Canis lupus familiaris: one gene and its partners. The protein of the gene in region 1 interacts with the protein of each later gene in a pairwise test. Links are inferred from orthologs where the notes say so. Each region holds a gene or a part of one and is shown in the gene's direction. Other genes may lie near its edges.

What was found.
Region 2: the proteins of CEP76 (region 1) and DZIP1L interact in binary tests that used the Homo sapiens proteins (3 or more experiments, as listed by UniProt). The link is inferred for Canis lupus familiaris from reciprocal best matches to the Homo sapiens genes CEP76 and DZIP1L.
Region 3: the proteins of CEP76 (region 1) and AKAP7 interact in a two-hybrid assay, tested with the Homo sapiens proteins (3 studies listed by BioGRID). The two-hybrid records come from large-scale screens. The link is inferred for Canis lupus familiaris from reciprocal best matches to the Homo sapiens genes CEP76 and AKAP7.
Region 4: the proteins of CEP76 (region 1) and CRYBA4 interact in binary tests that used the Homo sapiens proteins (3 or more experiments, as listed by UniProt). The two-hybrid records come from large-scale screens. The link is inferred for Canis lupus familiaris from reciprocal best matches to the Homo sapiens genes CEP76 and CRYBA4.
Region 5: the proteins of CEP76 (region 1) and TTC21A interact in a two-hybrid assay, tested with the Homo sapiens proteins (2 studies listed by BioGRID). The two-hybrid records come from large-scale screens. The link is inferred for Canis lupus familiaris from reciprocal best matches to the Homo sapiens genes CEP76 and TTC21A.
Region 6: the proteins of CEP76 (region 1) and PARD6B interact in binary tests that used the Homo sapiens proteins (3 or more experiments, as listed by UniProt). The two-hybrid records come from large-scale screens. The link is inferred for Canis lupus familiaris from reciprocal best matches to the Homo sapiens genes CEP76 and PARD6B.
Region 7: the proteins of CEP76 (region 1) and C26H22orf39 interact in binary tests that used the Homo sapiens proteins (3 or more experiments, as listed by UniProt). The two-hybrid records come from large-scale screens. The link is inferred for Canis lupus familiaris from reciprocal best matches to the Homo sapiens genes CEP76 and C22orf39.

What each region holds. Positions count from the first base shown.
Region 1 is NC_049228.1:78,176,826-78,181,047, reverse strand, and holds part of CEP76 (centrosomal protein of 76 kDa), read left to right. Parts: intron 1-399; coding exon 400-624; intron 625-1,785; coding exon 1,786-1,971; intron 1,972-3,827; coding exon 3,828-3,925; intron 3,926-4,222. UniProt on the Homo sapiens protein: Centrosomal protein involved in regulation of centriole duplication. Required to limit centriole duplication to once per cell cycle by preventing centriole reduplication.
Region 2 is NC_049244.1:34,855,410-34,859,631, reverse strand, and holds part of DZIP1L (zinc finger protein DZIP1L), read left to right. Parts: intron 1-2,211; coding exon 2,212-2,333; intron 2,334-3,033; coding exon 3,034-3,195; intron 3,196-4,222. UniProt on the Homo sapiens protein: Involved in primary cilium formation. Probably acts as a transition zone protein required for localization of PKD1/PC1 and PKD2/PC2 to the ciliary membrane.
Region 3 is NC_049222.1:70,056,724-70,060,359, forward strand, and holds the end of AKAP7 (A-kinase anchoring protein 7), read left to right. Parts: intron 1-879; coding exon 880-996; coding exon of another isoform or gene 997-1,072; intron 1,073-1,717; coding exon 1,718-1,983; 3' UTR 1,984-2,796; downstream 2,797-3,636. UniProt on the Homo sapiens protein: Probably targets cAMP-dependent protein kinase (PKA) to the cellular membrane or cytoskeletal structures.
Region 4 is NC_049247.1:20,681,893-20,686,753, forward strand, and holds the end of CRYBA4 (beta-crystallin A4), read left to right. Parts: intron 1-733; coding exon 734-875; intron 876-2,115; coding exon 2,116-2,258; intron 2,259-3,842; coding exon 3,843-3,990; 3' UTR 3,991-4,188; downstream 4,189-4,861. UniProt on the Homo sapiens protein: Crystallins are the dominant structural components of the vertebrate eye lens.
Region 5 is NC_049244.1:9,020,504-9,024,725, forward strand, and holds part of TTC21A (tetratricopeptide repeat protein 21A), read left to right. Parts: intron 1-652; coding exon 653-810; intron 811-3,612; coding exon 3,613-3,697; intron 3,698-4,222. UniProt on the Homo sapiens protein: Intraflagellar transport (IFT)-associated protein required for spermatogenesis. Required for sperm flagellar formation and intraflagellar transport.
Region 6 is NC_049245.1:37,743,396-37,747,563, forward strand, and holds the end of PARD6B (partitioning defective 6 homolog beta), read left to right. Parts: intron 1-316; coding exon 317-1,140; 3' UTR 1,141-3,476; downstream 3,477-4,168. UniProt on the Homo sapiens protein: Adapter protein involved in asymmetrical cell division and cell polarization processes. Probably involved in formation of epithelial tight junctions.
Region 7 is NC_049247.1:29,925,631-29,930,285, forward strand, and holds the start of C26H22orf39 (UPF0545 protein C22orf39 homolog), read left to right. Parts: upstream 1-1,722; 5' UTR 1,723-1,772; coding exon 1,773-1,796; intron 1,797-1,918; coding exon 1,919-2,086; intron 2,087-4,655. UniProt on the Homo sapiens protein: Negatively regulates long-term potentiation and modulates adult synaptic plasticity. Stabilizes the interaction of RTN4 isoform A/Nogo-A with its receptors, inhibiting clustering of postsynaptic AMPA receptors at synaptic sites.

The sequences.
Region 1 (4,222 bases):
ATGTTTTAATAATATGTTTTATAAACATTGTACAGCTTTGCTTTTTTAACGGTAATTGCCTAAAAAGTACACTTGCTGAGTTTATATTTGTTTGGTTTGGCTTTGGCGGTGAAGGCGTGTTATTAGATAAGCACCTGAAGAGCAAAGGTTTCTTAAGCCTTGGCTCTGACTCTTTTCTAGCTGGGAGAAAGTACCCAGAATATAAAAACTCCGATAAAAATATATCTTATTGTGTATGTTTTCTTTCTTGGTTTCAAATGGTCCTGGTATACAGTAAATTTGTTACTTTTTTAATTTAGTCTTTGGTTTTATTTCTGTCAAGTTATTATTTCCTATTGTCTTGATCACATTCCTTAAGTTGTTTGGCAGTTTCCTCATATATATTGCTACACTTTACAGCTAATATTGATCCAACACGGAGGTATCTTTACCTTCAGGTTTTGGGTGGAAAAGCTTTCTTGGAACATCTACAAGAACCTGAGCCTTTACCTGGACAAGTTTGTTCAACCTTTACTCTATGTTTACATTTTCGAAACCAACGTTTTCGTTCTAAACCTGTTCCATGTGCCTGTGAACCAGATTTTCATGATGGCTTTTTACTTGAAGTACACAGAGAAAGCTTAGGTAAGGAGCAATAATAACTTGTCATTTAATTGAGTAAATATTTGTTAGGTTTTATGGTAACATAACTTTTGCTAGAAGGAGAGTTTTATGATGATTGAATCTTCCTACTTTGCTTTTATTTTCTCCACTGCTCTTTTTTACATAAATTACTTCTACCTTTTTGCTTTATTTTCTGCTAAATAATTTTTCCTTAAGATTTTTTATTTTTACTGTTTTAATGGTTGCTTCTTAAGTAGTAAACATTTAAATATCTGTTAGGGGGTTGCCTGGGTGCTGTAGTCGGTTAAGTATCTGACTCCTTATTTTGGCTCAGGTCATGCATGATCTTAGTGTTGTGGGTTTGAGCCCTGCATCGGGCTCTGCGCTCAGCACAGAGTCTACTTGAGATTTCTTTCTCCCTCTCCCTCTCCGCCCCCCTCCCCAAAATCAGTCAATCAACCAATCAATGAATGCCTGCTAGATGCGTTATACTGTACTAGGCAAGTGCTGAGGATCTAGTGAAGAACAAGACATAATTCTTCTCATTTATGAAGGATAGCTAGGTTTATCATGTTATGTAACTTTGAGAAATAAAGGTAAGATGGGAGTCTGTAACTAGTTTTTTAAAATTATATACCTGATTCCTATAATTCTTATATTATTTCTGTAACTGTATTTTATGTTATTTCAATATAGAAATCTTAATAATGTGTTTGCTTAGCAAAGCTAAAAAATTACACCTTTAGAAATTTAGATTGCTAAGATGGCTAATACAGTATGAAAAGATTTTTTTGCCCTTGGTGAAAAAGGTTACCCTAATAAGGCTGTTTATTTTTTTTTTTTAAAGATTTTATTTGAGAGAGCACAAGTGAGCACAAGCAGAGAGTGTTGGGGAGAGGGAGAAGCAGACTCCCTGCTGAGCAGGGGGTGTGACCTGGGGATCCATCTCAGGACCCTTAGATCATGACCTGAGCCAAAGGCAGACGCTTAGCTGACAGAGCTCCCCAGGCGCCCCAGGATTGTACTTTTTAAATTAAGTAATCTGTTGCATGGTTTCTGAGGCATTACCAAATTATTTTATTTGGTTTTATGTAAGTATATTAGTATCCTTTGCAATAAACGTATTCTTCTATGTTGGTCTAATGGAATATGTAATGTGATGCATTTGGTTTATGTTGCCAGGTGATGGAACTAGAATGGCTGATTCAACAACAATGTTATCAATAAGTGATCCAGTTCATATGGTGCTAATCAAAACAGACATATTTGGTGAGACTACTTTAGTAGCATCCTATTTTCTCGAATGGCGATCAGTTTTGGGCTCAGAAAATGGAGTGACCAGTCTTACTGTGGAGCTTATGGGTGTAGGTATGATGATTCATCACTGTTACCTTTTTATAGCCATAGCTTGTTTATAAATGCATTTTATGTTTTCTGAATGCCTTTGTAAACCAAACAGGAAACATGTAAAAAAACTTTCATTAGGGAGTGCCTGCATGGTGCAGTCACTTAAGTATCCGACTCTAGATTTCCACTCTTGATTTTGGCTCAGTTCGTGATCTTAGGGTCATGGTCTTAGGGTCATGAGATCCAAGCTCTGCATCAGGCTCTGGGCTCAGTGTGGAGGAGTCTGCTTAAGATTTCTTTCTCTCAAAAAAAATAGAAAAAAAAAAAAAAAACAGATTCTCTCTCTCTCTCTCTCTCTCTTCCCCTCCCCCCTTTCCTCTTGTGCTTGTGTGCGTCCTCTCTCTCAAATAGATAAATACTTAATAAAATACTTAAAAAAAGAATTTCATCAAAATTACATTTGGACTCTAGTATTGGGGTCTTGGGAAATGCCGTGAAGCATGTTAGTAAAGAACTAGGGCAGCCTGGGTGGCTAAGTGGTTTAGCACTGCCTTCGGCCTAGGGCCTGATCCTGGAGACCTGGGATCGAGTCCCGTGTCGGGCTCCCTGCATGGAGCCTGCTTCTCCCTCTGTCTGTGTCTCTGCCTCCTCTCTCTCTCTCAATCTGTGTGTGTGTGTCTCTCACGAATAAATAAATAAAGTCTTAAAAAAAAAAGGGTATAGAACTATACAGTCAAACTGATCTTGTAAGGAAAAATTTTTTTTTCAGGGGCTTATTTTTTTTCTTCAAATTTATTTGATTGCATATAAGGCTATAAAGAACAGTAGGATTCTTCACACAGATGCATATGTAAAAACTCTACTCCAGCACACTCCAGTGTACAGTGCATCCCCCATTAGTATCAGTGCCTTCCTGCAGCAGTGGTTCTTACAGAATATGGAGGTGATACTTTTCCAACATTTTACATGTGGGAATATGGGACTCAAAGAGGTGCTGACTTGTTCATTGACAGGATCTATGAATAATACTCCTTGAGGAGAGAGATGGTGCCTATTTTATTCACCATTGTTTCCTTGGACTCTTGGGAACTATCTGATGTGTGATATGTATTTTCTAATAGAATAAAACCTACCAGTATTTTATGCATAACATATAAGGGAATTACTTTGGTATTGAAACTAAGTCACAGAGTCAAACCTGGTTGGTGGACGGTATAGCTTTAGTACTTTAGATTTTGATAAGTCATACCCAGAATGTGGTTTTCCTTAAATAGAAAGTAAGGGCACAAGTTTTTTGTGGGATATATGTATTTCCAAAAGATACACATTATTTGTCTTCAAATATAGGCCTAACATGATTATCATAGTAGTGACCAAGAAACAAGTATATTCTGATTCACCAGAGGAATAGTAGATAGTTCTTGTAAAAAGTGTATTTGTTTTCAAATTGTTTAAATCCAGGTATGGATGTGATGCGAAAAATGGGAAGGAATTATTATATGTGACAAAGTATAAATATTTCCTGAGAACCAGATGTTAACAGTTGCTTTACTTTGTTTTTAATGTAAATCTGGTTGGTATACGTTTAATGAAGATAAAAATTAAGAATACCAAATCCTTTAGATCCAAATAGCCCTTTAAAATGTAATAAGCAAGCTCAAAAAATAGATAATCTTACAACTAGATCAAGGTCTTTATGCAAAATAAAAACTGATTTGAATTGTTTTTAATATGAATATTAAAGATGTTGAATATTATCTGTATTTCACGTAAGTGGTAAAGCCAAAATTCTTAGATTATTTTGGTTAGACTTTGGTTGACTAAATATACATAGTCTGGAAACCTCTGAAGTTCTAAATATTTGTTTATATTTATAGGCACAGAATCAAAAGTTTCTGTTGGTATTTTAAATATAAAACTTGAGATGTACCCACCACTCAATCAGACATTATCTCAGGAAGTAGTGAACACACAGGTAAATGATTCTGAATTTCTCTTCTTTGTGTATTTGTTTTCATAGTAGTATATTTATCTATTGATCCTAGAAAGTAATTTCTTTTTGGAAAATTACCACTTAACTGGTTTTAAGCAAGAGAATGACAATACAATTTATTATTAAAAAAATTTTATCTTGGGGTGCCTCAGTTGTTTAAGCATCTGCCTTTGGCTCGGCTCATGGTCTAAGTGTCCCGTGATTGAGCCCCACGTCAGGCTCTCTCCTGGGCAAGGGGTCTGCTTCTCCCTCTCCCTCTGTGATGTTTCTCACTCTGTC
Region 2 (4,222 bases), on another chromosome or scaffold:
ATATTTCCCCATAAAGAGATTTACGAACTTTATATCCATTTTTGTGGTTCCATAAGAAATAGGTGTTAACACGTGAAATAAATATAGATATGAAAATATAAATCTTATAAATATAAAAATCCCATTAAATAAAACTTTTTTCTTATTTTTTCATTTTAATTTCCTTTTCAAAGAGCAGACTTAGAGTTTTAAAACAGGACCGTTTACTTACTTATTATGCATTTATTATATATCTGATTTTTCTTGGTTCTGTATTGGAGGCTGCTAAACAAAAACATTTTCTGCTTCTTAAATGTTTTTTTCTGATTAAGAAGATATGTCTTTGAAGAGGTGTTTGTATACTGATATTCATAACAGCATTATTCACAGTAGCTAAGATTGGGAAGCACCCGAACGTCTGTAGACAGATGAATAGATAAGCAAATTGTGGTATATACATTCAAGGGAATATGATTTGGCCTTAAAAAGAAGGGAAATTCTGTAATATGTTACAATATGAATGAACTTTGAAGATATTATGCTAAGTGAAGTAAGTCAGTCACAAGAAGACAAATACTGTATAATTCCACATAATATGCGGCACCTAGAAAAGTCAAATTCATAGAAACAAAGTAGGATGAATGATGGTTGTCAGGGCCAGGGGAGGGGGTGCATGGGGAGTTATTTAAAGCATACAGAGTTTTTGTTTTACAAGAAGAAAAGAGTTATGGAAGAGGATGGTGGTGACAATTGCACATTATGAATTATTAATGTATTTAATACCACCGAACTATACATTTAAAAATGGTTAAGATGCTAAATTTTATGTTATGTGTATTTTACCACAATAAAAAAATTGGAAAAAAATACTTTTGACCTGGAATATTTAAATACAGAAAGGTAGAAAAGGTAAGAACCACGGTCAAAATCACAGTTAATATTTTGATGTTTTTCTCTGTTTTATTTTTCTGTGTATGTATATAATCATATAGTATGCAGTTTTGACTGTTGCTTATCTTCAGTTAGGAATATATCACATTTCTATTGTCATCCAGTCATCTTGGGAAACATGGCTTTTAATGGCTGAATAGTATCCCATCCTGTGGCTATCCTAATTTATTTCACAATTAAATTACTTTATACTTTATATGGGTTACTTGTCAATTTCCCTATTATAAATCACATAATGATCAACATTCTTGCATGTAAATCTTTGTGCATATTTCTTATTATTTTCTTAAGGTTAAGTGTTGAAGGAGAGGGAAAATATGTTCTTAAGGCAATTTTTGCTAAATTAATGACCTTTTTATTCTCAGGCAGCTGGCTTTTCAGATCCCTCTGCTGTCCGATTTCATATCATCTCAAATCACTTTGTTAACCCAAATTAATTTCTACTGCATTTAAAAATTGCTGTTTCCAAAAAATCCAGTTTGAGGAAAACCATTTCTTTTTTTTCAAAGACAGGTTTAGAGGTTTAATAACAGTACCATCTATCTAATAGGCACTACAGGTACTTTAAAAAGTAACAAATGTTCAAGTACAATTGGCGTCTTTTCAATTAACCTGTAACTCTTGGTTTATCAGTATGTGGTTTAGTTAGAATGTTCTTTTATACTTCATTCTTTTTTTTTTTAATCTTAGAAATGTTAAAATATACTTTTAAAGCAACCTTGGCTAAAATTTTCTTCGTAATGCATGCTGCTTTTTTTTTTCCATTTGAAATTTAATACTATACTGTGTTTCTGAACAAAGTGAACTTAAAACTACAATTATTTTCACTCCTTTAAACTCCTCTCTGATGGCTGCCAGGTACATAGATGTGTTCTTTGTATTAATAATCACTGTGTACGTGCTATTTGGTATTATGCTTCTGTTACCTACCAATCTCGCATTTACATTTGTGTGTGTTGGTACCATCAAAATAGTTATTTTAAGTGATAATAATAGTTCACATTTATTGAGTTGTCATGCCAGGCACTGTGCTAAGCATTTTGCACTATCACCTTTCACCCTCGCGACAACCCTCTGAGTTAGGTGCTGTTGTTATCTCCATTTTCTGATGTGGGGAAACTAAAGGTCAGGGATGTTATGTCACTTGCCTGTAGTCAATGTCCAATGGAAGTGGCATGGCTGGTCTCAGCCAGAGGTGTGACACATCGCATAGATGAGGAACCTTGTTTCACTCACTTTTTAACTTAAACTGGTTATCCTGTCTTTGCATGGACCCCACAGCGAAGCAGAAGCCAGAGCGGCTGTTGGAGGAGGACGTGTTGGAAGAGCTGCGGGCCAAGCTAAAATGGACTCAAGAGGAGCTGGAAGCCCAGAGGGAGGCAGAGAAGCGCCGACAGCTGCAGGTGGGCATGGAGAGGAAGCGCCAGGGAGACCCGCTCGTGGACTACCCAGGAGACCCAAGAGGCACCTGTATTCCACAGGACCAGAAGTCAGGCTGGTTTTCTGCAGCAGGAAACTAGCCTGCAGCAGGGAGTCAGCCAGCACCAGGATAGCATCTTTCTGGATATGGCAAATGATCTTGGGTTGTCTGAGAAGGAAGATTCAGTTATTTTTCCAGATCTGTCTGGCCACAAGTAGAGCAGAGAATTGCATTTTCCTACATTATTCAGCACTCTGTGAGGGCATTTAAACCAGAATGTTAACTTCTTACACTACCCTGCTAGTTTGCGCTTTGAAGAACAAAGACTGGATAAACTCCAAAGTCCACTCTCAAGGATGTACTTAGTAGATAGTTGTAGAATGAAGATATGTAAATTTGTCTCACCCCTTCCTTCATGTAATCATTTCCTCAGCACCCATTTATTGAGCACCAACTATGCCAAGAATACAAAGAGAGAGAAAAGACATGGTCCCTACCCTCAAGGGACTTTACAGTTTGGATAAGACTTGTCCCACTCCATGCCCAAACAGTGGGAGCTCTGAGATGATTGTGCTTTGGGTCTCCATAATGACTTGCCCATACAAGAGGCCCTAGCAGTTTCTCAGTAAATATTTGCGGTAATGTGGAATTAATGATTCTATTGTTCTTGCTTTTCTTTCCAGGAAGCAGAGGTCAGCCATCAGAAGGAAATAGAAACTAAGAAAAAATTTGATGAATGGAAAGAAAAGGAGTGGGCCAGCCTATATGAAGAAATAGACAAGTTTAAAAGATCATTATGGGATGAATTTAAAAGTGTTGCCAAACATAACTCTATGCTAGAAGAGGTAACTTACACAAAAGGCGTTCAAAGTTCTTTTGCTGAAAAATCTGTTTATTCTTAAAATTTATTTCTTAGTTTGTTCTAGTTTTATTCCATCTGCCATTGGGGGCTGATATACTGTTAGGCTGGATACCAGAGGCTGATGCCAGGGGCTGAATCCCTGCTCTAGCACATTTTGGCTGTGTGACCATAGGCGAGTTACTTAACCCTCCTGTGCCTCAGTTTCTTTTCTGTAAGATAGATTGCTGAAAGGGTTAAATTAGCACGTAGAGAGCACTTCACATTGTTTGGTATATAGTAAAAACTCCCTAGACTTTATTTTTGCAAAGGAGTTTCTTTCATCACTGGATAAGATATGAGGCAAAATTTAAATAGATGCAGCACTTCTCTCTCAACAAATATATGCTGACACTGCCTACATGCCAGCCACTCTGTTGGGGTCTGTGGAGATCACATGTAATAGTAAGATTTACTAAAGGTATTTACTGTTTTCCCCTGTACAGAGTGCTTTATATACACTAACTTTTAATTCTCACAACAACAAAACAACCATAACATCCTCAAAGTAGGTACATTTTTCATTTACTTACTTCTTTTTTAAAGTTCTTTAAACAAAACTATTCTCATGCCTCCTTTACAGCAGAGGACATTGAGGCCCCATAACATGCTCAAGGTCACATGGCTACTAAGAGCTAGACCTGGGATTTGAGCTTAGCTTTTTAAATGAAGAGCTCCTGCTCTTCTACTGGGCATACTGTCAAGTTTGTTTAGGAAAACCTTATTTTTTTAAAAAATATTTTATTTATTCATGAGAGACAGAGAGAGGTGGAGACATAGGCAGAGGGAGAAGCAGGCTCCCTGTGGGGAGCCCGATGCAGGATTCGATCCCAGAACCTCGGGATCATGCCCTGAGCCAAAGGCAGATGCTCAACTGCTGAGCCACCCAGATGCCCCCAAGAAAACCTTATTAAAGGTCATTATCTCTGGACCCTCTCTTCCCAAATAAACCTGTATGACTAAAATCACGTCAG
Region 3 (3,636 bases), on another chromosome or scaffold:
GTCTTTGCCTCCAGTCATCTGCCTTTCTGGGTTAGCAGCTTGGTGGAAGGAGATGAGGGACTGAATGGGCATGAGCCACGAGTCCCGTATGTTTTTTCCCCAGTTAATGGAGACAAGGAAGAGAGTGAGTGGGAAATGTCTAGCATAGGAATAGATGAGAACCAGACCTTTTACAGTAAAATGAAAGATGGAATAGTCAAACCTTGATCATCACTAGCTGGGAAATAAAATGGCTATGAAGTATTAACATCTGGTAATTTACTGTCATCATCCTAACTCTTGAAGAGTTTTTTATTTCTTCAATTGCAGTGATAGCACTGAGATTTAAAAAAAAGAATATTAGTTTTACAAGGTTAAACCAGTTCGTAGCAGTAGTAATCGTCTTCACGGAAGTTCTGCAAGTTTATTAGCAACTAACCTGTGGGCCAGCAGGTTGATTGGGAAAAACGAGTTGATTGGGAAATCCTAATCACCTGACATTTGGCAGTGGCGAAGGAAAAGCAGATGCAGATGTAGTAGGTGCAGTCCACGTGCCAGAGGCTCCCGGTGTGGGCACATGGACTTTCATAGTAGCAAACAGCCATGGATGAAAGAAGAACAAAAATTCTAGAAATGGGAAGCTTCTAGCATGAGGAGGTGGAGTATTCTTAGACTGGGGTTACTGAACTACTTTTCAATCTGAAATCTCCAGGAATAGGCAATTTCCTGTTTCTGCAAATACCGAATGAAAAGCCAAACCTGTGTTCTCGGATGTAAAGGTCCAATTTGCCAGATTGAAGGACACTTGCACTTTTTAGCTAAGTGAGCTAGCCGGCCGTGCGTGCGAGTCCCGGTGGCAGTATGACCTCTGTGACCTCTCTTCTCTGTCGCGGAATGTAGGTGCTAAGAACGGAGGGGAGCCCGACGATGCTGAGCTGCTAAGGCTCAGCAAGAGGCTGGTGGAGAACGCAGTGCTCAAGGCCGTGCAGCAGTACCTGGAGGAGACGCAGAGCAGAGGCAAGCCCGCGGATGGGAGCTCCGGGAAGGCCCGAGCGGCTGACCGGGGTGGTGCTGACGGCGACCAGAGCGGGAGGTGAGGCCCGGGCAGGCCCCCGCCCCGGGAGGCACCTGCTCCCCTCTGCCGGGCCCACGGGCCCGCGGGCCCACCGACCGCCCGCACCGCCTGCACCGCCGGCTCTCGTCCAGTCTGTGGAGACGGCCTCCTACGTCCGTGGCCAATGTGCTTGCGTTTCTGAAGCACCACGGGGGACAAACGGCGCCACGGGCAGCAGGTGCACTGTGGGAGAAGAGGGGCCCAGGTCCCACCTGCCCTCCGCACAGCCCAGGCGGGCGGCTCTGGGCTGTGCCTCCTGGACACAGACGGAAGGCCACCAAGGGCCTGGGCTGGAGGGAGCCCTGCCATCCCTGCTGCCTGGCTGGCAGCTGCAAGTGCTAAACCGAAGACCCTGCCCGTCGGGATCGTCCTCCACCCTGTTGGTCCACAGTGTCTCACGTCTGTCCTCCGTCTGCTGTTGCCACGCGGGGACTTTTATTTACAGCAAATTCGTTTCGTGCAAATGATATATTTTTTGGCAAAATGCAACCACCTTTTCTATAAAACGTGGGCAACAACATAAAGGTTTCTTTTAACCTCCTTTGGTAAGTCGGTGTGCCCTATGTAATGCTTTTCACTGGCATTTGAATGTAAAATGTGTCATATAATTTTTTCTCCCCGCAGGCAAGAGGCCCATTGGACTCCAGGACTTAATTCGTGAAGCTCTGCGGCGAGAAAGGATGGGTCTGAAGTCCAAGGTGAAGCAGATAAAGGAACTCTTGTTAAAACCGGAGACTCAGGCCAGGATAAGGAGGGAGCTTCTGGAAGGAAGACCTGCTAGCAGCCGGCCCGGCGGTGACCCGGGTGACCGGGTGCTCCAGGCGCCCCCCCGCACCCCAGGCCCTGAGCGCGGCCACGCAACAGGCCACGACTGCTCCGCCAGGAGCTGACGATTTCTTGCCAAAGAAAACTGGTTCTGCCCTGTTGTGTTTAGAGCTGACCCTGTGCTTTCGCATGTTTGTTTCTGTAATATCAAGAATCATTTTACAGAAAGGACTTCATTAGCTGTCGCGACATGGTCCTTGGGTTCCCGCAGGTGATGTGCACAGACTGTGAAAAATCATTTACAGACAAAAAAAAAAATACAGTATTTTAATGGTCACTTGCCTTCTGTTGATGTGATTTTTTTTGTTGCTATTAAATCAGAAGTAGTATTGTCCACACAAGTCTCTATCTAGTGTTACTTTTAATGGGAATCTGAATGTTTATTGAACACTAGTACTTGAATGAGCGTTTCTAAGTGTAATTATTATAATTACTAGTTAAGAATGTTTTATAACATCCATATGTATTATTTTTTAATGATCAAAATGTAGTTTGCTTTTTCATTTCTTAATGAATGAATGTTTGGGATTTTTATTTTCTACTTTTCTGAAGATAAGCCCTAGGTCTTACTGTATTCCTTATAACCTGAATTTGTTTGCACTGGTTCATTTTTAAAGAAAATCCTTGAAAAACTCCCCCCACCCCCCCTTGATACTCACTGGTAACGGCTTTTTCTATAAGTCATTGCAAAATTGCTGCTACTAAGAGATCATGATGGAGGGGAAATTATTGGAGATCAAATATGTAATCATTTCATATGTAAAATCCAGTTTACTCATGGATTTTAGCTATTTTTTCACTGGGCAAATCCTACATTTATTTATAAATGAGTTTATGCATTTTCATGCGTTTTAATAAATGTATCGTTTTCCCTTGTTGCCTCTCCTCACTTTTTTCCTCATTCATGGAAGTGGGTGCTGTGTTGGTGTAAGGAAGTCCTAAGCAGGAGCTCTGGTAGTTTCAGTGTGTTTTCACCATTACTTACACGTCCTTATTCTTCATGCTCGGACAACACCATTGCCAGAGCACCGTCAACTTCAGAATTTTAAATCACCTCAAATCACTTAGCTTCACAGAGAATTAACAAAACAACGCCAAACACAAAGAAAACCCAAATAGCACCCCACAAACTGCTAATTATGTGCCAGGGAAGTGACAGCAGGAGCAAAGATGAAAGGAGTGAGGCCTTCCAGCTGGAAGGCAGGGAGCTGCCTACCATGAAGTCCCTTGATGGTGGAGGGCTTTCCTGCTCCGAGACAGCTTCCTTACATAAACCTTTAAGATAGGAAGCAAAGATATTTTGGGGCTTGCCTTGATTTTCAAATGAAGAAATGGCCTTTAGGAGACTGAGTGCCTAATGCAAGGCCTCTGCTGTTAGGGAGCTGGCCATGAGCTGCAACCCCGGGGCCCCATCTCAACTTTCCGGGGCAATTTTCACTGTCTCATAATCCAGGTTAACAGGATTTCAGGAGAAAGAGCTCTTCTCAGCCTGTATCCATAAATAACCTTTATTCCCAAGGAACTCCTCCAGTCTTCCCAAACTAAGTGAAAGGCTGAGGGAGTGTCCTGTTTGCAATCTGGGGTTACAGGTCTCTTAGGTAAGAATCATTGCTTCCATTGGTTAGATGCCTGCGTGCCAGGTGATTTAGGCAGGTCCTTACTTTTCTTCCCTTCACTGACCCTGCTAGGAAGGTACTAGGATTGTTTTACAGATTAGG
Region 4 (4,861 bases), on another chromosome or scaffold:
CATGGTGGTAGTGTCGCTTGTCCCACAGAGTCGCTTGTCCCACAGGAGGACACCAAGAGGTGCCAGCTGACAGCAGGAGTGGTGAGCCCCCTGCTGTTGAGGAGCTCTCCGTGCTTCAGCTGTGGCTCCTGCTGGACGCCCTCCCCCAGGGTGTGGGGTGGGGGAGGTCCCATATCTCCAGGGAATCAGGGAGGGGATGAGTTACTGTCTCATGGCAGCCTCCCTCAAGGAAGGGAGGTAGGTGAGAGGGTCCTGTGGCTGCTCCTCACCAGATTGCCTGTCCTCCCACATTCCTGGAGGATCACGAGGAATCCCGCTGAGGCTTAGGTCAGCCTGCCATCAAGCCTTGTCTGTGTGACCTAGAGGACCTCGTGCAAGATGGCCAGGCACCTGCCCGAAGCAGTTCCCCTACCCACGGGGCCTACAGCAAGGCGGTGAACTACACACGGTCTGGGCTGGGTTTCTCCAGCTCGGCATGGTGGGTTTGATGCTGGATGATTCTGTGATGGGGGCCTGTCCTGCGCTTTCAGGATGTTCAGCAGCATCTGTAGCCTCTACTTGCTAAGTGCCAGTTGCAAACAACCTCTCCTCCCTCCTCCCAGTGTGACAACTAAAAATGCCCCTAGACATTGGTTAAATGTCTCCTCAGTGGTAACTCCTAAGTGATAACCATTGATCTGGGACTCGGAACGTGGGTCTCTTACCCCTTGCACTCTCTACCCCCTGTCCGCAGGTGGGTAGGCTTTGAGCATGCTGGCTTCCAAGGGCAGCAGTACGTGCTGGAGCGGGGCGAGTACCCGTCCTGGGACGCCTGGAGTGGAAACACAGCCTACCCCGCCGACAGGCTCACCTCCTTCCGACCGGTGGCTTGTGCTGTGAGTCCTTGCCACCACCTTGTCCCAGGAAGGCCTGAGCCGCTCCAGTGGGATTTGGGAACCGATCGTCCCAGAGTTCAAATCCTCATGTCACTTCTTCAAGCCATGTGACGTCCCCTCTCTGAGCCTTGGTCTCTTCATCTTGAAATGGGGCCATGTCATGGGGAAGGCTCTGGACGAGATCACCGCATACATTGTGACCTTCATGGCTTCGGTTATGATATGAGCCCCTGTGTGTTTCACGTCCTTCTTTTCATGACATGGGGATCCTGGAGAAGCTGGGTGCCAGGGGTGGCAAGACAAGGTGGGGAGGAAGGTTCTATTTCTTCTCCCTGATTCATTATCAGTGTTCCTGATTTTATACTCCAGCTACTGTCTATGGAGTATGGGTGGAGGTGGGCATTATTATCTCCATCTAACAGATAGAAGAGCTGAGGCTTGAAAAGATGTGAGTTTTTTTTCTTCAAAAGCAACTTTCATTATTTTATTTTTTATTTTTTTATTTTTTAGACATTTTATTTATTCATTCATAGAGACACACAGAGAGAGAGGCAGAGACACAGGCAGAGGGAGAAGCAGGCTCCATGCAGGGAGCCCGATGTGGGACTCAATCCGGGATCAGGCCCTGGACTGAAGGCGGCACTAAACCGCTGAGCCACCTGGGCTGCTCACAACTTTCATTACTTTACAAATCACACAAGGCACATATATTTATCATCCAAAGTTCAGAAAGAAACCTGATATGTTAGAGGAAGAAGTCATACTCACATGTCTGAGACAGAAGCCCAGTCTTAACAGTGCCGGAGACTTCCTTTGGTCTTGTTTGTTATCAACAGATTCAATCTATACCAATTGTTTTTTTTTTTTTTTAAGATTTTATTTATTTATCATGAGAGAGAGAGAGAGAGAGAGAGAGGCAGGGATACAGGCAGAGGGAGAAGCAGGCTCCCTGCAGGGAGCCCGATGCGGGACTCGATACCAGGACTCTGGGACCCGCCCTGAGCCAGAGACAGACGCTCCATGGCTGAGCCACCCAGGGGTCCCCATGGTTATTTTCTTTGTATACATTTCTGGATGGGCAAATGGTATATACCTTTTGTAAGGTTTCTGTAACCTCATTACCCTTCCAAAAGATTTTGTAAGGAAGGCTGATTTGTGGGGACAGGGGCAGGGGTGTCAGCAGAGGCTCCTGGGTTCTCGGCTGGGCTTCTGGTGGTCCGACCGTTTCTTCTTCCTACAGAACCACCGTGACTCGAGGCTGACCATCTTCGAGCAAGAGAACTTTCTGGGCAAGAAAGGCGAGCTGAGTGACGACTACCCCTCCCTCCAGGCCATGGGCTGGGATGGCAATGAAGTGGGCTCCTTCCACGTCCACTCGGGGGCGTAAGTGAATCTGAGGCTCTGCCTGGAAGAGAAGGAGAGGCTGTTGGGGGTGAGGTGTGTGTGGGGGGGATATGTTCCGTGAAAACTGTGTGCTGGGGACTTTGGGGCGCTGGTGCCCACATTCCAGAGGAGGACACTGAGGCACAGAAAGGTATAAGGTAAGAATATGTGGGATCTCAAGTGGCAGACTTCCATACCAAACTGATATTATGCCCAAAGGATACTGATTGACCCTTGTCATTAGCTTCAGGCACAGCTGGATCCAGGTGCTACGGCAGGGTTCTGTCTTGCCTCATTGTGGCTAAATTCTCAGGCAAGCTCTTCCCAAGCAAAGGCCACACGGCAGCTTCATTCTTACCCCAGCCAGCCCCAGGGAAAGAGAGCGTCTTTTTCTCACTGATTCCACCAAAGGTTCCAGGAAAGGCTCTCATTGGCCCAACTTGGGTCATGTACTCAACTCTGAACCAATCGTCATGAGCAAGAAGGGGGTGGTCTGATTGGCTAGGGTTGGTCACATGCTCATTGCCAGGACTTGGAGGGGTGGCAGGGGGTCTCTCCCCAGAAGTGGGGAGAATGGATGTCCAGCCCTTAAGAAATAGGTGTGGCTCAAACATCCTGCTCCAAGTCTACCAGCTGCTAGGTGACTGAATCCAGCTTCAAACCCTGGAATGACTGACCCTTCTCACTCTTTCCCCAGGGGCTGGCAGGTGAAGGCCAAGATGTGAGGTCTTCATTTAGGGAGGACATTACAACCACCTTCTTGGAGTACCCTTAGGCTCCTGGTAGGGGTGAAGGTGAAGGTGGCAGGGTTTTTTTTGTTTGTTTAACAGTTTCCCTTTTTTTAACCATCAGAAAATCTAGTTGTTCCAAAGTAGGATGGGCCTCTTGTGATTCCTGAATCCACTTCCCCCTTATAGAAGGGGTAATGGAAGCTCAGAAAGTGAGACACCAATTCTTGTCCAATCCTGAGCAATGTAGGGGGTCAATGAGTGGAAAGAACAATAGCCTTTGCCTTGGAAGGGCTTCTGGCTAAGGGAAGAGGGGAAGGAATAAAATTCCACACTCCCTCCTTCCATCCTTCCTCCCTCCCATCCTTCTTTCCCTCGTCCCTTCCTTCTTTAACTATTATTAGCCCCTCTTCTGTGCCGGGCATTGCACTATGCACAAGAGATCCCAATGAACCAGACACACACAGCCCTACACCAGGAGCTTACCTGCTGGTGGAGGAGACGGACATTTTACAAGTAATCTGATACTTGTCTAATTATATGAGAACTACAGAGGACCAGAAAGGGACAGTGGCCTGAATTGGAGAACCAGCCCTCAAAACAAGCTGAAACCTGACTGATAATTATAACTTGGCTAGGCGCCAGGCTAAGAATGGCTGGAATGGTGTTCTTGGCAGAGGGAACAGCATGATCAAAGGCCCAGTGGTGGGGAGAGCAGAGCACATTCCAGGCAGTGAAGGAAGCCTGGGATGGCTGGAATGTGTATGCAGCATGGGAGCCTTTGCCCCCCACCCCCCAATTTGGTCCCCTCGCTGATGCCTCTTTAGGGTAACGGTCTGCCTCTTCTGTTCCCCAGCTGGGTTTGCTCCCAGTTCCCTGGCTACCGAGGCTTTCAGTACGTGCTGGAGTGTGATCACCACTCAGGCGACTACAAGCATTTCCGAGAGTGGGGCTCTCACGCCCAGACCTTCCAGGTGCAGAGCGTCCGCAGGATCCAGCAGTGAGCAGGGGGCCCGGCGGTGGCGGCGGCAACGAGGAGCAGATGTGTGCTTGTCTGGACAGAGGACCTGTGGCGGTTCTTCTGTGCACCCTCCTCTGCCTCCCCCTGTGGCCCCTGTGAGCCCAGCACCCATGTGAGCCAGTTCATGCACAGTCAGCACGAAACAAAAAAAAAGTAATAAAAAAAAGAAGATCTAGCGCTAGTTTGTGTTTTTTCAATTTTATTCATCCGCTCAAGCAACCTCGGTTTTTCCACTTTATTGATTTGCTCGCTCATTTGTCTGTGTCCAGTTCGCTCCATTGTACTCCTACCATCACCATTTCCTTGCTTCTGTGTACTCTGGGTTTCCTTTATTCTTAATTTTTCTAGTTTGGGAGGGTAGACCCTTGGGTCATTCATTTTAGACGCTGCACTTCTAAATGACCGGAGAGTCATTGTAGAGCTATTAATTTCCCTGTGAGCACAGCTTTAGCTGCTTCCCCCACATTTGAATTGTTCAGTCTGATATTTCCCAGTTTTCCCCTGTGAATTCTTCTTTGGCCCATGGGTTCTTTAATGGTATGTTATCTTTTGGGATTTTTGAGATATTTTATTGTCATTGATTTGTTCTTAGTCCGTTGTGGACAGAGAACACATTCTGTCGGATTTCAATACTCACGCTCGCTTTCGGCAGCACCTATACTAAAATTGGAACAATGTAAGATTTCAATACTCTGGAGTCCAGACTTAATTTATAGCTCAGCAGATGGGCTATTTTTGATAGACTTGGTTGCCCACTTGAAAACTGTTTATTTATTTATTTATTAAATATTTTATTTATTTATTCATAGACACAGAGAGAGAGGCAGAGACACAGGCAGAGGGAGAAGCAGGCT
Region 5 (4,222 bases), on another chromosome or scaffold:
GCCTCTTCCTCTTGTTTTTATTAAGTCTCTTGAGGGCAGGTTGCCAAAGGTCTAACATACGCTCTGGTTTTCAGAGTCATGTTTCAAGTCCTTTAGGAGCATTGCTCTTTGCCCCTCAAGCACCTGGGCCATGACTCACTGAATCACTCACTCACGCACTCGGACCTGGTGGTTGGCACTGACCGGCAGAGGCCAGAACTCCAGCCCCATGATCCTCGATGGAGAAAAAGTGCCACTTCAGCCCCCCAATCCAGAGTGTTCCCTGCAAGCCCTAACTGACCCAGGGCCCCAGGGAGCAATTTTCATTGATAAGGTTCAAGACAGTGAATGGAAAAGGAAAAGTAGAAGTGGAAGGTGCCCAGCAGCCTGAGGTCTCCCTCTAGGGGTGGCCCGCACGTGGTCTTGCTGTATGCCACACCTGCCAGGGTGCCCCAATCTCCCTGGAGCCCTGGCCTCACCTGTCCAAGAAGCCAGGACTGGTGTGGACTTTGATTTGTCACTCTGAGTGATGGTGACTCCTTCCCCAGGGGCTTCGAGGGATTCCCGCAGCACACATATGTCAGGCTCTGCTCCTGTTCTGGTCAAGACCCTGACACCCCTGGACCTCCCTCTGTGGGCACTGATGGAGGCTCTTCTGTTGGGCTTTCAACAGGCAACATACTTAATGATGCAGCAGAACTACTCAGGGGCCCTGGAGGTGGTGAACCAGATCACCGTCACCTCAGGGAGCTTCCTGCCTGCCCTGATCCTGAAGATGCAGCTGTTCTTGGCACGGCAGGACTGGGAGCAGACAGTAGAAATGGGACACAGGTGAGAGGCAGGTGTCCACCGGCACCACTACACCACACCGCTGCTTCTTCCCTTTCTTTGCGAGCCAAGCGTGCTAACATGTTCCCATCTTACAAGATGGGGACATGGGAGACAGCGTGTGTTTGATGCAACAAGACATAAAAGTAAATATTGGCAACAGAGGAGGTACAGAGAGTGATGCGATCATATGGGGAGGAGGCCAGGAGGACATGGCCCCTGATAGACAAAGAAATAGGCATATCTAGAGCTATAAGCATGTTATTTAGGAGAAAGAGACAGAGGAGCGACCCAAGGAACCCAAAGCAACCAGGATTACAGGCTGACAAGCAGTTGCCTCTAAAGAGCGGGGTTAGAGGGGCATAAAGGAACTATTGCATTATTTAATTTTTTTAAATTATGGGTATGATACACCGTAATAAAAACTTCAGGGAAAAAGGTCATCGGTGACTGAGAAGACTTCTAGCCAGACAGCAAGAGCCGGGGAGCTCCTGGGGCTGTGGAAGCCAGATACCAAGTGTGGGTGACCTTGGAGCATTGTCACTGTCTCTAGAAATAAAGACCACTTGGGGGGAGGGATGTCAGATGGAAGGTTTTTTGAGGATGGAATTTTCTAGATAACTGAAGCTTATCTCCTTAAACTAATGCTTTCACTAGTTTTATTAAGTAATTCTAAAATGTGTGCTACTAACTTTCTCCCTAAAAAGAGTTAACAGACTACTTTTTTTCTGAGTGACCACGAGTCATCACTACGAATCATGACTAAGTTGTGGTACTATACAGCACAGTTCAAAAACAAAACAAAACACAAGCAGACCTCTTCCCTGTGGAGGGATGGCAATTCCTCTGATGATCATCACTGGAATTTGAGTCCCCGAGAGAGGCACCCAGGAGCAAATGAATGTAATTGGGATCTGCTCAGTGCACTGGGGCCCCCCACATGCGGTGCCTGTGCAGGCCTCGCTTCTCTGTCTCAGAGTTGACACCTGGCCAGTGTCCTTGGCAGGAACTGGGTGAAGAGCTTGCTTTGGAGGCTTGGCCTTCGGCCAGCGGGATCCTGGGAGCACCTGGCTGACGGCCACAACCGTGGTGTGCGTGGCCTCCCTCGCCCAAGGCCCTGCTGCCCTGCCTGCAGGGAACAGTGTTTAGTGCCAACGGGCTGAGTCCCACAACCGATGCCTGCCCTTATGGAGTTTTTTGCAGCTAGTGGCATTCACAGAACTTCCTCCATTGTTTTTTATTTTTAAAAAACTTGAGATCAGGAGTCAGAGGCCCTACCAACTGAGCCAGCCAGGCACCTTGCCCCTATTGTTTTTTAAATCTGTGCCCCTCTAGGTGTGTTTCTTGTTCCATCCCTAATATTATTTATTTCTCCCTTTAAATTTCCTTCATCAACATCAAAGTAATTTGTTTCATTGACTAGTCTTTTTAAAAACCCCACTCTGAGTTTTGTTGATGGTCTCTATAGTATCTGTTTGCTACTGTGTTAATGTCTGCTCTTTGTGATTTCCTGCCAACTCCTTCCTGTGGGGCTATCCTGCTCTTGTTTTCTAACTCTTGAGTGGGATGCTTGGCTCATCCATTCTCAATTTTCTTTTAGAATATATGTGTTTAGATTTGTGCATGTCCCTCAAGGTACTATTTTAGCAGTATCTACACATTTGGATGTGATATTTTCAGTATCATTTGGTTCTAAGAATTTTCTAATATCCATTCTGATTCTTCTTTAGTCCATAGGTTATTTCAAAAAAAAATTTTTTTTTAAATTTCCAAATGTATTTGTTTCCCTGTACCTACAGAATCAGCATAAAGGATTAGAACTGTTTGAATGTTGACTGCCTAACTAATCATATTGGGATTTTGTGTCTTAATTAGAGTAACCCTCTATGAAGTGCAGGGCCATCCCTAACTAGGCTGAAAAATAGGAAGTTTCCCATAAAGAAACAGAATATTGAAAACCCCAAAGTATGTATGACCGGAAACTGTGTCTTCACAATGACACATGTTGGAAAGCAAGGTTCCCTTTCCATCTTATAGCTGCAGATGACCCATCAAGGACCTCTCCACCACCCTGGGACCACAGGGCCATGATCAAGTCTATGTTAGTTGGCATATGAATAGGCTTCTGTCACAGATTGCCCCAGATGCATGGACTTAAATAACATGAAAGGTTATTCCTCTATCAGATAAGAGTCTGGGAGGTTGTCCAGGACTGGCATAGCAGCTTAACTCTGTTAGGATCCCAGGACCCTTCTGTCTTACTGTTCTATATTCCTAGGACTTTGATTACATGGTCCATGTTTCAGCCAGCAGAAAGAAGTAAGAGAAGAAAGAAGAGATGTGCTGTAAGGAAACAGCTGGATGTCACTGGGGCACTTGCAGTCACATCCTGTTGGCCAGAACTTAACCACAGGGCCACACTTGAGCTGCAGGGGAAGGCTGGGAGATGTGGTCTTTATGCTGGGTAGCTGTGTGCCCAGCCAGATCAGGAGTTCCATTATTTTTTTTTTAAGATTTATTTATTTATTTATTCAGAGAGAGAGAGAGAGAGGCAGAGACATAGGCAGAGGAAGAAGCAGGCTCCATGCAGGAAGCCTGACATGGAACTCGATCCCAGGTCTCCAGGATCACACCCTGGGCTGCAGGCGGCACTAAACTGCTGTGCCACCGGGGCTGCCCAGGAGTTCCATTATTAAAAGGAGAAAGGGAGACAGGATATTAGGAGACAATCAGAAGTGGCTGCAGTGCCATGCTAGCCTGGTCTATGCATACTCAAAATTCATGTGGCTCCTCTTCCTTTTTCAGAATCCTAGAAAAAGACGACGGTAATATCGATGCCTGCCAAATTCTAGCAATGCATGAGCTTGCAAGAGAAGGAAATATGACTACAGTAAGTTCTTCAAGACTCAGGAGTTGGGCCTTGAAACAAGTGCAGCCTAGGAGGAAACGCTCTGAGCTCCACCATCCCCAGGGCCTTTGAGGGTCCTCCCTGGATCTCAGTCCCTCCCATCTCCTTCACCTCATATTCCCTGTAAGAAGGTCGGAAGGACTGCTTTGGGCAGGCAGTGAGGTTAAGTCTGGTTTTGCCATGAGTTACCTCATGTGAGCCTGGGCAGGTTCACCTGGAAAAGCCCTGGGATCAGCATCCATAAATTGGAGATAATTCCAACCACTTTGTGAGGTTGTTAGAGGGACTAAATGGGATGACTAGTGGGAGTGCCTGGGAAATGCCACTTTTTAAAAAAATATTTTATTTATTTATTCATGAGAGACACAGAGAGAGAGGCAGAGACACAGACAGAGGGAGAAACAGGCTCCCTGCAGGGAGCCTGATGCGGGACTCAATCCCAGGACCCCAGAAACACAACCCAAGCCAAAGGCAGACACTCAACCACTGAGCCACCCAGGTCCTGGG
Region 6 (4,168 bases), on another chromosome or scaffold:
AATGATGTTTCAGAATGCGTTCGTAAGGCTTATCAGAATTTCATTTTCCCCTCAATTTTATTTAATCATCCTTGAGGTTTATCAAATTCAGCATTTGGGATTTTATGACGTGTGCTTGAGAGGGCCCCCTAGTGGTTGTGTGTTAGTTCAGCAAATCTAACTACTGCACTATATTTTGATGATTAAAAACAAGCTAATATTTAAATTGTTTATGTACCAACACATGTGAGTTATCCCTTCTATATAGATTCAACTGTGGTTAAATGGGTGTTTTTACAGCATTTCTGTAATTTTATTTTATTTTATTTTTAAACAGAAGAAGCAGACTACAGTGCCTTTGGTACAGACACACTAATAAAGAAGAAAAATGTTTTGACCAATGTATTACGTCCTGACAACCACAGAAAAAAGCCACATATAGTCATTAGTATGCCCCAAGACTTCAGACCTGTGTCTTCTATCATAGACGTGGATATTCTCCCAGAAACACATCGTAGGGTTCGTCTTTACAAATACGGCACTGAGAAACCTTTAGGATTCTACATCCGGGATGGCTCCAGTGTCAGGGTCACACCGCATGGCTTAGAGAAGGTCCCAGGGATCTTTATATCCAGACTTGTCCCAGGAGGCCTGGCCCAAAGCACAGGACTATTAGCTGTTAATGATGAAGTTTTAGAAGTTAACGGCATAGAAGTTTCAGGGAAGAGTCTTGATCAAGTAACAGACATGATGATCGCAAACAGCCGCAACCTCATCATAACAGTGAGACCAGCAAACCAGAGGAATAATGTTGTTCGGAACAGTCGGACTTCCGGCAGCTCTGGCCAGTCCACGGATAACAGTCTCCTGGGCTATCCCCAGCAGGTAGAACCAAGCTTTGAGCCAGAGGATGAAGACAGTGATGAAGATGACATTATTATTGAAGATAACGGAGTGCCCCAGCAGATTCCTAAAGCTGTTCCTAATACCGAGAGCTTCGAATCATTAACACAAATAGAACTCAGTTTTGAGTCTGGACAGAATGGTTTTATTCCTTCCAATGAAGTGAGCTTAGCCCCCATAGCAAGTGGCACAAACACAGAAACACGTGCTCCGGATCAAAAACTCTTAGAAGAAGATGGAACAATTATAACACTATGAAACCTTTGTCTGAATGTCTTCGGAGTGAGGACACCATAGGGACTTGTAAATTTGGCTAGTTTAAAGCATATATACCTCTGAACCAGTGACCTGGAGTAGGCATGAGAAAAATAATATTGCAAGCTTAAAATGTTATTAAAATAGTAGTTTGATAATTGTTAATATAAACTTCAGTTTGTCAGAGGTGAGTTTAAGTCAGAAAGGGGCCTTTGCTAATGAAATTATATGCTTTTTGCTATTTTGTCTATAGAGAACTGGATGTTAGAGCACATTTTCAGAACTAGGAGAGGACCAGATCATTTCCATTTGAAGTGGTTGCATATTTAACCTGCTGTGCAGAGCCCGGTTAGCTTTTTCTTTAAGTATATTTTTTTAAATTCTAATGTGAAGAAATCTGATTCTGTCCTTTGGTATCTTGGGGACCTCAGCTTCTATGTTCCCTGTATTTTATGTTGATTTTCTAATGTCTGTTCCTTTGTTGCTAATTGTTACAAGTAATTTTTTCAAATGTTTTTTTCTTCTAGTATCTAAGAAATCAAACCAATTGCCTATTTTTGGGAGTTACCTCCTATGTTATAAAACATTGAAGCCATGTTCCTGAATTAAGAAACTGTAACAGTTGTTCAAGTTCAAATCATATTCATCCTGCAAGTTTCATATTTACATGCTCATTCCATATGCATGTAACTTAACATGGTAAAAGGCAGTTCCATTCAACGGTGGTAGCACATGAGACTCCTTAATCTCATCCTCATTCCTATCATTAGAAATCATTCCTTTTGTTGTTTATGCGTGTTTTGTTGGTGTGCTTTCATACACTTTTAATATATTCAAGTAGTATGAATCATTTTGGATTTAAAAAAATGCACCCAACTTAAGAGATTTTTACACACAGGACAAACTTGTGCACTTTTTTTATATGAGATATTTGGTTTTTCCTTCATGGGATTTCTAGGAACACTGTCTACACTTTATGGAAAAAAATATAGAGTATTCACCTCAGGCAGGTAGAGTTTATTGCTATTAATTTTATGAGGCTATTTATTACTTTCCAACGCATCCACTTAGAACAAGTGAAGGGTAAGGCTGCTAACTTCCATTCCTCACCTGATTCCATTGTACAACGTGCACAAGCACTGCAGTATGCCTGTATATAGAAACCAAGAATAGTGTGAGGTCCATAAGTTCCCTGGGGCTTATGGCTATTTCTCTCAGAGTTATTTATTAATTAATTTTATGGTAGGGCTAGAATGGGTACCTTTGTAACAGTTGCGTGCTATGGAAACAATGAAGAATTAAGCGACTCCGTTTTGAAGGATATTTTCTCTCTATGGTAAAGATACATGAAGAAGTCTTGGACTGAAGGAAGGTCACTTGACTCCGAATACTCCATGTATTTTGCTCATGTTACCACTAAACAGATTATCACTAAACTATTAACTGCACAACACTATGTAACGCAATGTACTTTTTTTTGTTGAATTCACCAAACTCTTCCACTTGTATACCACTATTTTTTGACGGCATTCCAGCCATAACCTGTGAGTTCTAGAAATTTGACTCTTGAATGGCAAAATGTTAACATGTAGGTTAAATTTCATTTATATTATGAGCGGTGCAGGGGTTCAACCTTTTAAGTAAAAATCCTTTCACACACTACCTCTCTCTCTTTCTCTCTCTTTTTTTAAACAGAGTTTTAACATCAGAACTTTTCTCTTGGAAAAATACTTCAGGGCTTGACTTTTTGTACAAATTTTAACTATAAAGTACAGATTTGTCTTATATGTCTTCATGAAAATGTAAATCAAAGCTGCTAGTGCTTTTTATTTTAATTATCCTGCTAAGGGTATATGTCAATGGTGTTTAAAACTAGATTTCTCATTTAAATTATTGGTGAAATAATTGATTGCTAGACATATTGTAAAACCAATAGATCTTGGTTATGCAGTAAAATGTCAGTTCGTTGGTAGCCTGAATCAGTTATTTCAAGTGTACCTTATTAACAGAGGATTAAGCATAAAATTTTATAGTACTAAATGTCAAGCCTAACTGTGAATTTTGTTCTGTATCTTGAGTAAATTTAAGATAATGTTCTCATGAGCTATCAACAAAATATATGTACTTTTGTGAACTATGAATTTTCTAATTAAATTTTACATGCGACAACATGATTTTTACATGAATGATACTTTGTTTAAACTATCAAATGTCAGTATTTTACTACAATTTTATTATAAAATGTACATTATCACTAAATGAACTTTGATTTTAAAAATCAAATTAGCTTTAGTTGTATATTATTTTTTACAAATAAAGATAGACTTGTATAAAGGCTACTTTCTTGTTTGCAAATATATGAAAAGTCACCCAACAGATATTTACCGAGCACTCATTATATAAAATGAATAGGTAAATAAATAAATAAATAAATAAATAAATAAAATGAGTAGGAAGAAAATTGCCAAGTTATAACGACATCCTGGCCTCCTTTTGATTTTTAAAAGATAAATACCAAGTTGTATATACATTGCCTGCAACTGTGAGCATATGATTATCATATAGGAAGATAGCATTTAAAATGTAGTTATTCTGATTGTGTGAGAGATTATGTGTGATATCCATGCAGAGTTATCATTTGCAGTAAGGTGATTTGGAACAAGACTAAAGTCGTTTGTAATGGGAAAGTTTATCTTCTGAGATTCAAATTCACTTAGTTACGTTATTTATTACTACCCTATGTGGCATTGCCTGTACAGATTGGGTTCGGTTTATACTGGACAATGGGAAAGCCGTGAGATAGATCAGACCCTCCTACTGAGCCATTTCTAATCCCAAATTCATCACTGTCATTGGCTTAGCTGATCCCTGCACTAACTGCCAGCCAGGGTGGAGGAGGGATAATCTTTCTAATTCCCTCCCCCAATTTAAAAACAGATTGACAATCCTCTGAGTAAAAATTCAACATTGTAAAAAAAAAATTCAACATCGTGTACAAAGAACTCTTTACATCATTGATTGGTACAGACTG
Region 7 (4,655 bases), on another chromosome or scaffold:
TTGGTGTTTGGGCCACCAACCAGAAGCTGGAGGAAGACTTGCTTGCAAGTGTCCCTTGTTCCATCCTGCCATTAGAAAAGAGCTCCTCGGGGCACCTGGGTGGCTCAGTTTGTTAAACGTCTGTCTTTGGCTCAGGGCATGATCCCAGGGTCCTGGAATCAAACCCTGCATCGGACACCTTGGCTCAGTGGAGAGCCTGCTGCTCCCCTGTTTGTGCTCGCTCACTCTCTCTGTGTCAAATAAATAAATAAATAAATAAATAAATAAATAAATAAATAATCTTTTAAAAAAAAGAGAGAAAAGAGCTCTTCCGGGGGCTTTTGGAGAATATATGGAGAGATGAGGCTCTGACCCCTGCATTGGGGATGGTCAGCCTGAACAGGGTCTCCTCTTGGAGGAGGACTCCTGCTTAGAGATAGAGGGGTCCATCTCTTAACGGAACTTCCAACAGTCAAGACGATGCTTCCTTCAGGATGGTGGTCCGGGGTCTACCCGTACGTCCAAGAGTATATGATGGTCACGCAGATTAGGCCAGGCTATGGCCCAAAAGGTCACTAATGATGGACAGGGTGTCAAGAGGCATGAAGCACTGCTATGACTTCCCTGATCCTCCATTAAGGAGTCTCTTTCAGTAGCTGAGGTAGAATCCCTCCTTGGTGGGTAGGCAACCTCCTTTTGCAGGATCACATTGGCTAATGTGTCATTTGATGCATAATGAATATTACAGAAAGGCACGGACTGGTCTTGGGTTTTTGTCTTCCTCCCTAAGCAACACCTACGTGTATGCAATGAAACCACCCCTGATCCTTTGCTTGAGCCACTCTTCCTTCCCTAGGCCAGGGGCAGTCCCTGTTGGGCTTCTGGTAGCAGAGGGGAGGGGCCATCCAGAGCAAACTTCTGGGTTATCCGTGCTGCACCCTGGTCTGCAGGCTTCCCCGTCTCCAAGCTTGGTCTGTGGCCAGCTTGGCCGGACCGCTGGTAAAGCGGCAGCCTCTGCCCCACCTCGAGGGCGTCTAACCCAGCCTCGGTCCCGGGGCAGGCGAGCAGCAGTTGTAAGGGGCTCCCCACAGGGAATTAAGTTCGTGGAAGTCGGAGAACCACTGCATGGATATTGCAGGGCTACTCTGCAGATCACCAGCCTCTGCTTTTATTGCCTCTTGTGCATCTGTCCTGTTTATAAATGTTCGGTGTCTTCCATACCTCGGAGTAAAACTTCACTCCTAATCCGACGTGCGAGGCACCCTACGCTGGCACTGCCCTGTCCTCTACCCCAGGTCACACCGGCCTCCACTTTTGACAGGCCCGGCTTCCATCGGGAGATCATCCGGCGCCCTAGAGCCTCAACTCCCACTGGTCCTGCCTGGCCACCCTCCACCCCGCCAGCGCCGCAGCCTCGGCAGCTTCGCCATGTGGAGTTGATGCTCATTGTGTGCTCACGGAAATGAACCCTATCTGTGCAGATTTAGTAAACCTGAAAATAAGCCTGGACTCCGTGGTTTCAGAAAGAGCTCACTTCGTGGCTGTGCCGCCCAGGAAGCCCGCCAGGCACCGGGCGGACTGCACGCCAGGCGTTGGGACCTCGGGACCTCCGCACACGCCCCCGCCCGCCCGGGCCCCGCTCCCGGGCTCCCGCAGGCCCCGCCTCCGCGTGTCACCGCCCCCGGCTGCTATTGGCTGCTCGGCCGGACGTCAAGGAGGTAGGCGCGGAGTCGAGGGTGCGCTGCCCCAGTCCCGGCCCGCGAGCTGGGGGCGGGGTGCCGCAGGCGCGGGCCATGGCGGACGCAGGCGGTTGGCGGGTAAGTCCGGGGCCGCGGGGCGTGCGGAGAGCCCGTGACCCGAGGCCTCTCCCGAGGAGGGCGCGGGGCTGGGTCCCCGGGGGCGGTGCGGGGCCCCTGGCTCAAGCTCCCTGTCGCCGCAGCCGCCGCGCCCCTGCGAGGCCTACCGCGCCGAGTGGACGCTCTGCCGCAGCGCCGGACACCTCCTGCACCACTACTACGTCCACGGCGAGCGGCCCGCCTGCGAGCAGTGGCGGCGGGACCTGGCCAGCTGCCGGGAGTGGGAGGAGCGCCGCAGCGCCGAGGCCCAGGTGCGGGGGAGCCCGGGGGGCGCTGGGGCACCGACCGCGCCCTCCCCACCGTCAGGCCCCCGGCCCCTGGAGAGGAGTCGGCCTGGGTCCTCCTCCGCTTGTGCTTCCTTCCTTTTGAGAAATATCAAAAATCAGTTTATCAACAGGGCTTTACAGTGAAGAAAGGAGGAGAATGTAGAGTGGTTTGGGGGAGAAAGAAGAGGGATCCCCTAACAGTGTTAGTGTCGGCAGCCCTGCGCAGGAGGTGGTATTTCTGAGGCCTTTGGGACATGGCCAGCTGGTCCCAGCCTCAACAGCCTTCACCAACCCAGGGCGGGACACATCTAAGGAGCAGAAAGAGCCGGGTGCTTGGAGCAGGAGGGTCGGCTGTAGACTGGTAGGGGTTGAGGCTGGAGAGGTACCAGGGAGCTGGTGGGCCTTTATGAAGTGTTTAGATTCAGCCTAAACGTATGCTGAGAAGCATGACTTGGTTTATATCTTTAAAAGATTAGTGTGAGGGTTCTGGGTGCCTGAGTCAGTTAAGCATCTGACTCTTGGTATCAGCTCAGGTCTTGATCTCTGGCTCATGAGTTCAAGCCTCTTATTGGGTGCCAGGCTGGGTATGAAGCCTGCTTAAAACAGGGGTGGAGGAGTGCCTGGGTGATTCATCTGGGGACTGACTCTTGATTTAAGGCTCAGGTTGTCATCTCCAAGTTGTGGGATCCAGCTGTGAGGAGCCTGCTTGGGATTCTCTTGTCTCTCTCTCTCTGTCTTTCCCTCCCTCCTTCTGCTCCTCCCTATCCCCCTTCCCAGTCTTAAAAAAATATATAGATAGAAAGACAGATAGAGATCAGTCTGACTGCCAGGGTGGGAGAGTGTATTACCGAGGGGCAAAGAGACAGTGAGGAGGTGGGTCTGGTTTTCCATTCATTCAGCATTCAGCAAGTATTTATCATGTTGGGTGGTCTTACAAATACAGGAATGAGAACAGAGCCCTGCCCTTCTGGCACCTTCGTTCCAGTCTAGAATAGGCAGTGGTGCCTTGGAACTATTGTGGGTAGGGGAGACATGAAGAGAAGCTTGAGGGTGCAGTGCTTATGGGGAAGGGAAAACGGGCCCCAGCAGGACTGGAGGCTGGTTAAATGTATGTGATTATTGAAACAAACTCATGTGGAAACCAAGCTACCATATAAAAGAAAATGATGACAGGTCCATTATAAGTGGAAATCAAAAAATTGGGAAAGGACTTGTGTAGCAAGAGATTATTATTATTTTTTTGAGAGAGAGAGAGCTCTCATACATCGGTAAGAAAATGGGGATGATTTCAGAATAGAAAAGTGGGAAAAGGTCATGAGAAAGGAATTCATTCAAAAAGAAAATCAAATGGCCTGGTATACAAGGTCAACTGACAAATGGCTTCTGCCCAGTGAAGTGTCAGAGTGCTGATAAAGGTCTGGAGAGTCAGGGGTACTTATGCAGTATTGGTGGAGTGTTACGTGTTCTGATTATCTGTCAAAAGGATACCTTTTGACTGCCTGGTTTTACTTCCGAAAGCCCATCCTAGGGAAGTAACTGGGTAATAGTGCACAGTTAAAAAATTCACAATATCTGTTGCCTCACTGTTTGTGATAGTGCAAAAACGGAAAGCACCCTAGATGCCACTAATAGACATGTAACCAAATAACTTCGTCGACCCAGTGGGATATGACATAGCCATTAAAAAAAAATAGATAATAATCTATCTGGGCAGGGAAAGGTACCTGTATGTATGTTGCTTAGTAAAAAATGGAGGATGTACACTAGCCAGTAAGTGATTCCATCTTCAGGAAAACATGTAGCCCTAACATTTATGTCTCAGTTGGGTTGGGGAAACTTAATTTCACCACAGGGACAGAGGTCTTGGAAATTTTTCATATTCTTTGCATTTGATTGCTTTTTAAATAAGAACAAAAACACTGTTTAAGACAATACAGCTTGAGGAAAGACAGATAATTAGATAGAGGAGGTGAAATTATATATATAAAAAGGCCAGCATAGTGCCTGGCACCTACCAAGTGCACCTTTCATAAGGTGCTGTCCCGTGTTCCTTCTGGGAGGAGAATGGCAGAAAAAAAGCCAGCTAGTTGAGTGGCACCTATTTTCTTTCTCCTCTGGATTCCTCCTCATCTGTCTGGGGCTCCCTGCGCACGTGTCTCTTGCCTCATCCTCCCCACTGTGGCCACTCTTTCAGACTCTTCTCTCTTCTTAGCTCAGCACCATGCTGATCTCAGCAGGTAAATCTGATTAGGTCGACTGAAGGCATCAAGTCCTGAGGCCCAGAAGAAATTTTAAAATTTACCCAAATTATGATGATCTACACAGTTTTTCACAGGAGCTTGAGAGAAAGAATGATCTAGATTTGTGCATTTTATAATTTTTTTAAATTTTTATTTATTTATGATAGTTACACGGGGCCGGGGGGGGGGGGGCGGGGGCAGAGACACAGGCAGAGGGAGAAGCAGGCTCCATGCACCGGGAGCCCAACGTGGGATGCGATCCCGGGTCTCCAGGATCGCGCCGTGGGCCAAAGGCAGGCACTAAACCGCTGCGC